2 linked regions of the Oryzias latipes genome follow. The protein of the gene in region 1 interacts with the protein of each later gene in a pairwise test. Links are inferred from orthologs where the notes say so. Each region holds a gene or a part of one and is shown in the gene's direction. Other genes may lie near its edges.

Evidence for each region. The genes of interacting proteins can lie anywhere in the genome.
Region 2: the proteins of psmf1 (region 1) and fbxo7 interact in binary tests that used the Homo sapiens proteins (3 or more experiments, as listed by UniProt). The link is inferred for Oryzias latipes from reciprocal best matches to the Homo sapiens genes PSMF1 and FBXO7.

Annotation. Positions count from the first base shown.
Region 1 is NC_019863.2:32,759,896-32,765,803, forward strand, and holds the end of psmf1 (proteasome inhibitor PI31 subunit), read left to right. Parts: intron 1-697; coding exon 698-780; intron 781-947; coding exon 948-1,136; intron 1,137-1,469; coding exon 1,470-1,526; intron 1,527-3,334; coding exon 3,335-3,496; intron 3,497-3,821; coding exon 3,822-3,873; 3' UTR 3,874-4,213; downstream 4,214-5,908. UniProt on the Homo sapiens protein: Plays an important role in control of proteasome function. Inhibits the hydrolysis of protein and peptide substrates by the 20S proteasome. Also inhibits the activation of the proteasome by the proteasome regulatory proteins PA700 and PA28.
Region 2 is NC_019881.2:23,757,369-23,762,661, forward strand, and holds the end of fbxo7 (F-box only protein 7), read left to right. Parts: coding exon 1-55; intron 56-478; coding exon 479-655; intron 656-918; coding exon 919-959; intron 960-3,390; coding exon 3,391-3,678; 3' UTR 3,679-3,836; downstream 3,837-5,293. UniProt on the Homo sapiens protein: Substrate recognition component of a SCF (SKP1-CUL1-F-box protein) E3 ubiquitin-protein ligase complex which mediates the ubiquitination and subsequent proteasomal degradation of target proteins and plays a role in several biological processes such as cell cycle, cell proliferation, or maintenance of chromosome stability.

The DNA of each region.
Region 1 (5,908 bases):
AAACTTAAACTAGAAGGAGCTGCATTTCTAGAAGAAAATGCCGGTTAAATGCTGTACTGCTGAATGAAAATGAAACTTAAAGGGGAATAACGGGCAAAAAATAAAGAAATGATCAAAGTTGACCATAAATAAAGTGAAAACAGCACAATAACAAAAATGTTTGTGAAAAATGCCAGAGCCGGGTATCAAACCAGCGAGCTTCTGCACCAAGGATTCCCCATTTATTTAAATGGAGGCAGAAATCCTGGAATATCTGGAAAAGTTCAAGGATTTGAAGGACCAAAAGTCACAGCTGGAAAAAGCTGAAAGAGCCGAACATTTGAATAGATGGATGGTTGAAATAGATGAGTAACTGTAGAAGATAAGCTGCAAAACATGGCTGAAGATACTAGAATAAAGAGAAACAGGAAAACAATAAATATTTCTGAAGCAGAAACCTGGTGAATATATTATGTGTAGTTGTGCAGTGAGTCGGTACAGCCCTCTGTCTGTTTCTTCAATCTTTATTATGGTGGCATGTTATTTTTCTGTTCCGTTCACGTCCTGCAGACATGTGGACTCGTGTTGTATTGAACATGAGTCCACGCGTCACGAACGTCACAGAAACTCTGAACAATCGTCGTTCAGAAATGCTGACGTCAGATTCCAGCTGAAGGTAACGGCGGTGTGACGGCGTCTGCTTTCTGTGTGTCTGAAGAACTGCAGCACGCAGCAGGTGACCGACCTGACCGTGAACATGAAGGATCACGTGGACGCCGACCATCTGGACACGTTTGACAGGTCGGTGTAAAAAAACGTCCCCCACAGGAATCAGCAGTTCTTCCTGTTTTCAGTCCCTCAGGGTCACAGAGTCACAGGTGAGGAGGGCAGACCATAAGAGCTGCGGGTGCAGAGGTAGCAACCCTGAATCTGGATGAAATGATTGACTGAAGGCTTTTATTCTGAAGGGTTTTCATAAATGGAGACGGTTTGTCAGAGAAGGTGAGGGCTCAGCTGCTGCCCCCCCAGGAGAAGAAAGCAGGGAGGAGGAGTTTGCGGGAGGATGAGGACGAAGCAGGAGGAAGGAGGAGGAGAGAGGAGGACGACCCTCTACGCATTCCCAGCAGACGTCCTGGTCCGGGAACGCAGCATCCATGGTTGGGAAATTCTGGCATTGATTTGATCACAGCGATGGGATAAAGAAGTCTTTATTCTCTCTTTCTAGAATATTTCTATATTCTGAAAGTTAAAAGAAATGACGTTAAAGTAAAAATCAGGAATAAATTCCTGTTATTTTCTCACAGAACTGAATGAGTTGTTAGATCCGTCTGAACTTTAAAGGATAAAAGCAGAAACAAGTCTATCTAAAGATGAGCTTTTATTTTGAAAGGTTTATTCTGTCAGGAAGGAAACAGTCATCACGGATGCTGTGCTGCTCCTGATGAAGGTGAGGTGATTCTTCATCATTTGATGAACGCTTTGTTTTTCAGGCGTGAGCCTGCAGTTCCGCCTTTTGCCACTGGGGGAGCAGATCTGGATCCGTTCGGGTGGGTGTGTCTCCTCCTCTAAAACTTCCAGATGTTTGTGAGTTTCAGCCAGCGTTGTCCTAATCCAAGGATTTGGGATGACGGATTATCAGCCTCCGGCCTCGCGGACTCACAGCTTTGACCTCGAACGCTGAATCTCTGAACAGAATCTGCTGAGTCAGCATTCGATGGTCACATGACGCCTCACTTTGACATTTTCCTCCTTTTCTTTACCGTCTTTCTAAACTCCTGAGAGGATTACATCTGGAATTTGTGTTGAAAGCCTTATTGTTGTTTTTTCTTTGAGTCGGTTCTGTAGGGTTCTGTTGGGTTTTACTAGAGCACTGTGGGGTTTTATTAGTCCACTGTGGGGTTCTGTAGGGTTCTTTGGGGTTCAGTAGGGTTCATGGGGATCTGTGAGGTTCTGTAGGGTTCAGTGGGGTTCTGAAGGGTTCTGTGTGGTTTTGTAGGGTTCAGTGGGGTTTTGGAGGGTTCTGTGGGGTTCTGTTGGGTTTTATTAGTCCACTGTGAGGTTCTGGTGGGTTCAGTGGGGTTTTGTAGGGTTCTGTGGGGTTCTGTTGGGTTTTATTAGTCCACTGTGAGGTTCTGGTGGGTTCAGTGGGGTTCTGTGGGGTTCTGTGGGGTTCTGTTGGGTTTTATTAGTCCACTGTGAGGTTCTGGTGGGTTCAGTGGGGTTTTGGAGGGTTCTGTGGGGTTCTGTTGGGTTTTATTAGTCCACTGTGAGGTTCTGGTGGGTTCAGTGGGGTTCTGTGGGGTTCAGGGGGATCTGTGAGGTTCTGGTGGGTTCAGTGGGGTTCTGTAGGGTTCTTTGGGGTTCTGTTGGGTTTTATTAGTCCACTGTGAGGTTCTGGTGGGTTCAGTGGGGTTCTGTGGGGTTCAGGGGGATCTGTGAGGTTCTGGTGGGTTCAGTGGGGTTCTGTAGGGTTCTGTGGGGTTCTGTTGGGTTTTATTAGTCCACTGTGAGGTTCTGGTGGGTTCAGTGGGGTTCTGTGGGGTTCAGGGGGATCTGTGAGGTTCTGGAGGGTTCTGTGGGGTTCTGTTGGGTTTTATTAGTCCACTGTGAGGTTCTGGTGGGTTCAGTGGGGTTCTGTGGGGTTCAGGGGGATCTGTGAGGTTCTGGAGGGTTCTATGGGGTTCTGTTGGGTTTTATTAGTCCACTGTGAGGTTCTGGAGGGTTCAGTGGGGTTCTGTTGGGTTTTATTAGTCCACTGTGAGGTTCTGGAGGGTTCAGTGGGGTTCTGTGGGGTTCAGGGGGATCTGTGAGGTTCTGGAGGGTTCTTTGGGGTTCTGTAGGGTTCATGGGGATCTGTGAGGTTCTGTAGGGTTCAGTGGGGTTCTGTAGGGTTCTGTGGGGTTTTGTAGGGTTCAGTGGGGTTCTGGAGGGTTCTGTGGGGTTCTGTTGGGTTTTATTAGTCCACTGTGAGGTTCTGGTGGGTTCAGTGGGGTTCTGTGGGGTTCAGGGGGATCTGTGAGGTTCTGGAGGGTTCAGGGGGTTCTGTAGGGTTCTGTAGGGTTCATGGGGATCTGTGAGGTTCTGGAGGGTTCAGTGGGGTTCTGTTGGGTTCTGTTAGTCCACGTGAAGCTGGAGGAGTAGCTCTGTGACTTCCTGGCTTTCGGTTCCGCTGGAGCCTCCTTTTCCTGAGGAGAACCTCCTCAGAGAGGATTGACCCGTTTGCAGTCTCGTGTCAGAACCTCTGAAGGTCGTGTTCCAGTCAACGTTCCTGTGTGCAGAACCCCTCTGGTTCTGCTCTGGTTCTGCTCCTGCAGAAACGTTCATCGTGTCCTTTGTCCTCCTGACTCGTCCTCAGATCTCGAGGTGGGGGCGGGATGATCGTGGACCCCCTGAGGTCGGGGTTCCCCCGCTCCGGCTTCGACCCCTCCAGCGGCATCCCGGACATTCTGCCCCCCGGAGCCGTGCCACCGGGAGCTCGCTTCGACCCGTTTGGACCCATCGGGCGGCACAGACCAGGGTGAAGGCAGCACTCGTGTTCTCCTGCATGTGATGATGGTTGTTGCAGCCAAAACCCAGAGAGACACACGTCTGTGCGGATTCTGAAGAATTTGGTTCTGATTTCAGAGAATTGGGTTTTTTTAGAGATTTTCTCCTAAAATGACTTTAAGAGAAGAAAATCTCTTGGAAAAGTTTGATCCGCTGCAGCACAGAGTCCTAAAACAAACAGACAAAGCGCTGCGTTGGGTTCTGGTCGTGTTCTGGGCGGTTCTGGTTCTCTTTTGATGACCTAAGCTGCAGCAGAAACCAAAAACCTGAAACCTGTTTGTGTTTTTGCTTCCTAGGCCGGATCCGGACCACATGCCCCCCCCCGGCTACGATGACATGTTCATGTAGAGCTGAACGTGGGTGGTTCTGAAACCCTGACTCGGTTCTGACCCGCTCACTTTGCTCTCAGCTTTCAGGACGTGAAGTTTGAGGCTGCAGGTTCTGGTTGAGATAAGCGAGTTTGTTTTGGGTCGGAGGAGACGATTCCAGAAGGAAATCCTTCTGCTTGTCTCGGTGTTTGGAGCAGACGGCCCAGAAAACCGGACGGAGTTTGAGTTCTGAGCTTCGGGTCGGACTCTCGCTCCGATTTCAGGTTCCTGATCATTTTGTGGCTCATTCAGGAACACCAGAAATAAAGTTAGTTTAAAAAACTGTGAATCCTGTTGATGGAATAAATGTTTGAATCATTTCTCTGTGCTGCTTTCTGCTTGGGCCGGTTCTGTAGAAGCGGGTCGTTGTGGGTCACAGAGGTTTGACACTCAGAACAAAAATCTCTGAAGATTCTCTTTTTCTGATCAAGTAAAACACGAACGGTGATGAAAAAAGACAATCAAATTTAGCAGCAGATTTCAGACATGAAGGGTTACATTCTGTAAAAAAAACAGCTTTTCGGTTCCGACGGTCCAGTTTCAGACGGACAAAGTCCAGAACAACATCCTGAATTTTATTCTTCATCTGATTCCTCTTTTCTGGTCCCGGACCTTCTGTTCCCGGAACCGGTTCGGTTCTGCTCCTGGAACCGGTTCGGTTCTGCTCCTGGAACCGGTTCGGTTTCTGCTCCCGGACCTTCTGCTGCCGTCCCACAGAGATGCAGATTCATAAAATCCTAATTTGAGAGGTTTAGTGGTTTACCTGTGAATCTTTCTGCTCAGTCTGACATCCTGCAGACGTTGACAGACGTCATCATGAAGTCCAGGCTGCACGGTGGTGCAGTGGTTAGCGCTCTTGCCTCGCAGCAAGAAGGCCCCCAGTTCAAGTCCCGGCTGGGGGACCTGGAACAGAACACCAATGGGGGTCCTTTCTGTGTGGAGTTTGCATGTTCTCCCCGTGCATGTGTGGGTTTTCTCCAGGGTCTCCGGCTTCCTCCCACCGTCCAAAAACATGCTTCATAGGTTAATCTAAATTGTCCCTAGGTGTGAGTGTGAGAGTGAATGGATGTGTGATTGAGGATATTCTAACCCGTGACAGACTGGCGACCAGTCCAGGGCGTCCCCTGCCTTCACCCACAAGTGGCCAGGATAGGCTCCAGCAGCCCCGTGACCCCGAAAGGGAAAAAACAGAATTGAAAATGAACCATGAAGTCAGAGACTTTTCTGTCTTTCTCTTCATTTAACCCTTGTGCTATCCTAGGCACTTTAACGTTGGGAGTTGGGTCATCTAGACCCACTAGACAGTGCTCTGAACCTTTTTTCTTCAATGATTTGTGATCTTCACTGGTGTCCATGGATTACATGAAATCTTTCCACCTTTATCCACCTTTGTCATGGTAGGGAGAACACCTCAATGGAAGGGGGGGGGGGGGGTCATAAGATAGCACAAGGGTTACACAAAACCATTCAACTATTACACAAGAATGGTACTTTGAAAAAAAGGTCTTTTAGTTCTGAACGGTGAAGTATGATGTCAATGTTCAGATCTGGTTGCCATGCCAACAGAGAAGCTACATTAATCACCTTCCAGCGTTCATGGGTTCACCTTCTGACCCTGCAGACGGACAGAAAAGCAGTGATGACGTTTCCATGACAACTGAGATGATGATGCAGAGGGTTGGATGGGGGATGTCGGCTGCAGCTCTTTCTGCAGGGGTTTGTGCATTGATGACCGTCGTCAGGCCTTTTGCTGTTTGTTCTGCTGCTGCAGCTGCAGCTGCTGCTGCTGCTGCCACTGCTGCTGCAGCAGCAGCAGCAGCTGCAGCAGCAGCAGCAGAACAACAGCAGCAGCATCAGCTGCAGCAGCAGCAGCAGCAGCAGCAGAACAACAGCAGCAGCAGCAGCAGCAGCATCAGCTGCAGCAGCAGCAGCAGTGGCAGCATCAGCTGCAGCAGCGGCAGCAGCAGCAGCTGCAGCTGCAGCTGCAGCAGCAGCAGTGGCAGCAGCAGCAGCAG
Region 2 (5,293 bases), on another chromosome or scaffold:
TCCCGCGTCTTCAAAGACCAGCTGGCCTACCCTCTGATCGCCGCCGCCAGAGAAGGTAAACGCAGCCGAGGGGGCCGGTCTGCTTTTGTGAGCCACGCCCACAAGGAGGCAGAGGGTGGAGCTACCAGGAAGCTGTGGCGCCCCCTACAGGGAGCAGCAGAACGTTTGATCAAATGTTAGGGGTGCAGGTAGGGCCGGGAGAATGTTTGATATCACAATATCGTTTTATTCATCCTTTTTAAAAAAAGATTGAAATATTGTTGTGGCACAGACTTAGTATGTTTCTTGATATCCATCGTATCGCCAATACATGCCGCTATAAAATATTAAAAAGAACAGAAAATGCTGTCAAACAGGAAACGCATCATTTGAACGGCGATGGACTTCCTGGTGTCTCCCTGCTGTGGCTTTCTGTACCACTGGGGGGCGCCAGAGTGTGAATCAGAGTGGAGCAGAAAGCGTTTTCTTTCCGTTGCAGCCATGGCTCTGCCCTGGGCGTTCGGCCTGCAGGCCCTCCCTCCAGAGCTTCTCCTCAGGGTGCTCCGCCTGCTGGACGTGCGCTCGCTTCTCAGGCTGTCCGCCGTCTGTCGACTTCTGAACGCCGCAGCAGCAGACTCCTCGCTGTGGAGACACCTGTACCGCCGTGATTTCCCAGGTTAGAGCTGCTTCTCCGCCACGTTTTTTTAAACTTCAGAATCAGAGAAGCTGCACGTTCTTCAGCCAGAGACCAGCTGCGGACCAGGATTCACCAGGAAAACAGACATTTCTGTGTTTTTACACACATGTAGAGAATAAATGAAGCTACTAGTCTGATCTAAAGACGTCAGCAGATTATTCTTCAGTTTCTGTTGAATGTGAAGGAACCGCGTTTTCAGTCTGAAACATTTGGACCTCAATGATGTCATGTTTGTGCTTCAGGTTCTGGTGGAAACAGATCAAATGACTCGGACTGGAAGGAGGTGAGGAGGGAGTGAAACTGTCACACGGGTGTGAGATGTGTGGGGACCCACAGTGATGGGTCCTCCACGGCTTTGATTTCAGTCAAAGGAGGCTTTTAATTAGAAAATCTAACTAATATGTGTGAAGCTTAGAGGACAAACCAGAACATGAACAGAAGGAAGGTGGGCTTAATTCATGAATGAATCAGCCTGTAAACAGCCTGCAAACAGTCTGTAAACATTCTGCAAACAGCCTGCAAACAGTCTGTAAACAGTCTGCAAACAGCCTGCAAACAGTCTGCAAACAGCCTGCAAACAGCCTGCAAACAGTCTGCAAACAGTCTGCAAACAGTCTGCAATCAGCCTGTAAACAGTCTGCAAACATTCTGCAAACAGCCTGCAATCAGCCTGCAGACAGTCTGCAATCAGCCTGCAAACAGTCTGTAAACAGCCTGGAAACAGTCTGTAAACAGCCTGCAATCAGCCTGCAGACAGTCTGCAATCAGCCTGCAAACAGTCTGTAAACAGCCTGCAAACAGTCTGTAAACAGTCTGTAAACAGTCTGCAAACAGCCTGCAAACAGTCTGTAAACATTCTGCAATCAGCCTGCAAACAGTCTGTAAACAGCCTGCAATCAGCCTGCAGACAGTCTGCAATCAGCCTGCAAACAGTCTGTAAACAGCCTGCAAACAGCCTGCAAACAGTCTGTAAACAGTCTGCAAACAGCCTGCAAACAGTCTGCAAAAAGCCTGTAAACAGTCTGTAAACAGCCTGCAAACAGTCTGTAAACAGTCTGCAAACAGCCTGCAAACAGTCTGCAAACAGTCTGCAAACAGTCTGCAATCAGCCTGTAAACAGTCTGCAAACATTCTGCAAACAGCCTGCAATCAGCCTGCAGACAGTCTGCAATCAGCCTGCAAACAGTCTGTAAACAGCCTGGAAACAGTCTGTAAACAGCCTGCAATCAGCCTGCAGACAGTCTGCAATCAGCCTGCAAACAGTCTGTAAACAGCCTGCAAACAGTCTGTAAACAGTCTGTAAACAGTCTGCAAACAGCCTGCAAACAGTCTGTAAACATTCTGCAATCAGCCTGCAGACAGTCTGCAATCAGCCTGCAAACAGTCTGTAAACAGCCTGCAAACAGTCTGTAAACAGTCTGCAAACAGCCTGCAAACAGCCTGCAAACATTCTGCAAACAGTCTGCAATCAGCCTGCAGACAGTCTGCAATCAGCCTGCAAACAGTCTGTAAACAGCCTGCAAACAGTCTGTAAACAGTCTGCAAACAGCCTGCAAACAGTCTGTAAACATTCTGCAATCAGCCTGCAAACAGCCTGCAATCAGCCTGCAATCAGCCTGTAAACAGTCTGCAAACAGTCTGCAAACAGTCTGCAAACAGTCTGTTAACAGTCTGCAAACAGTCTGCAAACAGTCTGCAATCAGCCTGCAAACAGCCTGTAAACAGTCTGCAAAAAGTCTGTAAACAGCCAGCAAACAGTCTGCAAACATTCTGCAAACAGCCTGCAATCAGCCTGCAAACAGCCTGTAAACAGTCTGCAAACAGCCTGTAAACAGCCTGCAAACAGTCTGTAAACAGCCTGCAAACAGTCTGTAAACATTCTGCAATCAGCCTGCAAACAGTCTGTAAACAGCCTGTAAACAGTCTGCAAACAGTCTGTAAACAGTTTGCAAACAGTCTGCAATCAGCCTGTAAACATTCTGCAAACAGCCTGTAATCAGCCTGCAAACAGTCTGTAAACAGCCTGTAAACAGTCTCCAATCAGCCTGCAAACATTCTGCAATCAGCCTGCAAACAGCCTGTAAACAGTTTGCAAACATTCTGCAATCAGCCTGCAAACAGTTTGCAAACAGTCTGCAATCAGCCTGCAACCAGCCTGTAAACAGCCTGTAAACAGTCTGCAAACAGTCTGCAACCAGCCTGTAAACAGTCTGTAAACATTCTGCAATCAGCCTGCAAACATTCTGCAATCAGCCTGCAAACAGTTTGCAAACAGTCTGCAATCAGCCTGCAACCAGCCTGCAAACAGTCTGCAATCAGCCTGCAAACAGCCTGTAAACAGCCTGTAAACAGTCTGCAAACAGTCTGCAACCAGCCTGTAAACAGTCTGTAAACATTCTGCAATCAGCCTGCAAACAGTCTGCAATCAGCCTGCAAACATTCTGCAATCAGCCTGCAAACAGCCTGTAAACAGTCTGCAATCAGCCTTTAAACAGCCTGTAAACAGTCTGCAATCAGCCTGCAAACAGCCTGTAAACATTCTGCAATCAGCCTGCAACCAGCCTGTAAACAGTCTGCAATCAGCCTTTAAACAGCCTGTAAACAGTCTGCAATCAGCCTGCAAACAGCCTGTAAACATTCTGCAATCAGCCTGCAACCAGCCTGTAAACAGTCTGCAAACAGCCTGTCTCACCTGTTGCCATGTTTCCTTTCAGCTCTACAAAACGATGTTTGTCTTTCGCTCTGAAAGCCGCCGCAGCGCCACCCGACTGATGACCCCTCCTATTGGCCATCACATCTTTCATCCTTTGCCCCGCCCCTTCCCCCCTGTGCCAGGCATTATTGGGGGGGATTATGACCAAAGACCCAATCTCCCGCACGGCCTCCTGCCCCGCCCCCGACACGACCCCATTGGGCCCCTTTCAGACCCCCTTGGTCGACCGCTACCCCGGTTCAGATCATTTGGGGGCAAGGCAGCCGACATCCGGCGGGGTTTCATCTGAACATTGAATCCTGGAAGGAACGCCATGACCACACGTGGGGGGTGTGGCCTCCATGTGAGAGCCCCGTGATCCAAAGAAGAAATGACACTGTGCTGGAAAGCTTGATTTATTATTATTTTGGTTTTTTTTATAAACAGCTGAAGACCAGTGTGAAACAATCTGACTGTTCCTGTGTGTCCCTGAATGCACCACAGTGTTTTAGCCTGAAAGACTAACGCGGGTTTCTGGGTCAGAGCGAGCTGTGGTCGCCCTGACAAAACCACGTGACACACCAACACCTGAGTGACGGAGAAGGCTCCGTCCATCTGGTCTCAAACGTACAGGAACTTCCTTCAGAACCAGCGGGTTCTGCTCCTGATTCCGTCACTAAACTGCTGTATTCAGTCTTTACTGTCAAAAACGGCAGAAGAAACTTTGGCTTCCGGGGGGTATTCCAGAAAGCAGATTATGCTAGCTCCCACGATAAGTTTGAGGCTAAGGAAGTTGATAACCTCGGCTTTCGGTTCCAGAAATGGAGGTATGTTTCAGGGTGGGTCAAGTTGCCATAGCAACGCATGCTCTGAACATAACCTGGTCTGGAGCAGGTTTAGTTGAAGGTTAGTTTGTTTTCAGAGAGGAGAAGCAGCATGGCGTGTCCATTTGAAGATGATTTAGTGGATGAAGAAGCTCAGATAATACTTTTTCCACCGTGAGAGGGTGATAAGACCACGTATGGATGTTGGAAAGAGAAACTTATTACTTTGATCTAACTTAATTATTTGCTTCAGTTAAGATAAATCATTTTTTTTGTTAGAAATTTTTTTGTTAAAAATAACACGTAGTTTTCAGACAGTTATTTTCCTTTCGTTCAAATTAATTCAATTAAGTAGGTGTAACTTTGATGCTGCTGTTAGATCGGCACCGCAAGGGATTGTGGGATACCATTCCCTTTGCCTGTCTGGACGGATTTGGGTTTAAGTGTGGGTTTTTTACTAAATGTGTTTAGTTGTATAGCTGTTTTACTGTGTTTCACCGTGTTTAGCCGAGCTATTTTGTCCTACTATGCTTACGTCTCTGCACCATGAGTGAGAGGGAGGGAGAGGATGATGAGTTTATATAGCACCCCTACCGCTTAGTGCTGTTATGACAGTGACGGAAAATTCTTTAGTGAGTTTTTGCACTCGGTGCATTGTCTTTCCGTTCTTTTTATTGTTATACAAATGAGAATATCTGCCGGCTCAAACTTAGACATATGAAAGTTCAAGAAATATAAGTAATTAAGATGGAAAAAAGATTAATGGAGTAATGTGACATTTAGTTAGATAAATACGTAGATTTGAGTTGTATAAACAATTATTGAGTTTGAATTAATTTAACTAAATTATCTTTCAGCCGTGTTACTTTTTTGATGGACTTATAATTTTTAACCGCCGTCATTAAAATCTCAGACTCCGTCTCACTTCCGTCTCAAGTGTCGCGCTTTCTTTTTTTTTTCTCCACGCGTTTCCATGGTGACTCCAGAAATCGGCGATCTATTGAGAATGTCTTTATGTACCTTCCGTGCACGAGCATTAACCCAGGGTTACCAAGTCGAGCGTAATTACGCCAAATCATATCCGGTCTTTTGGAACCGACA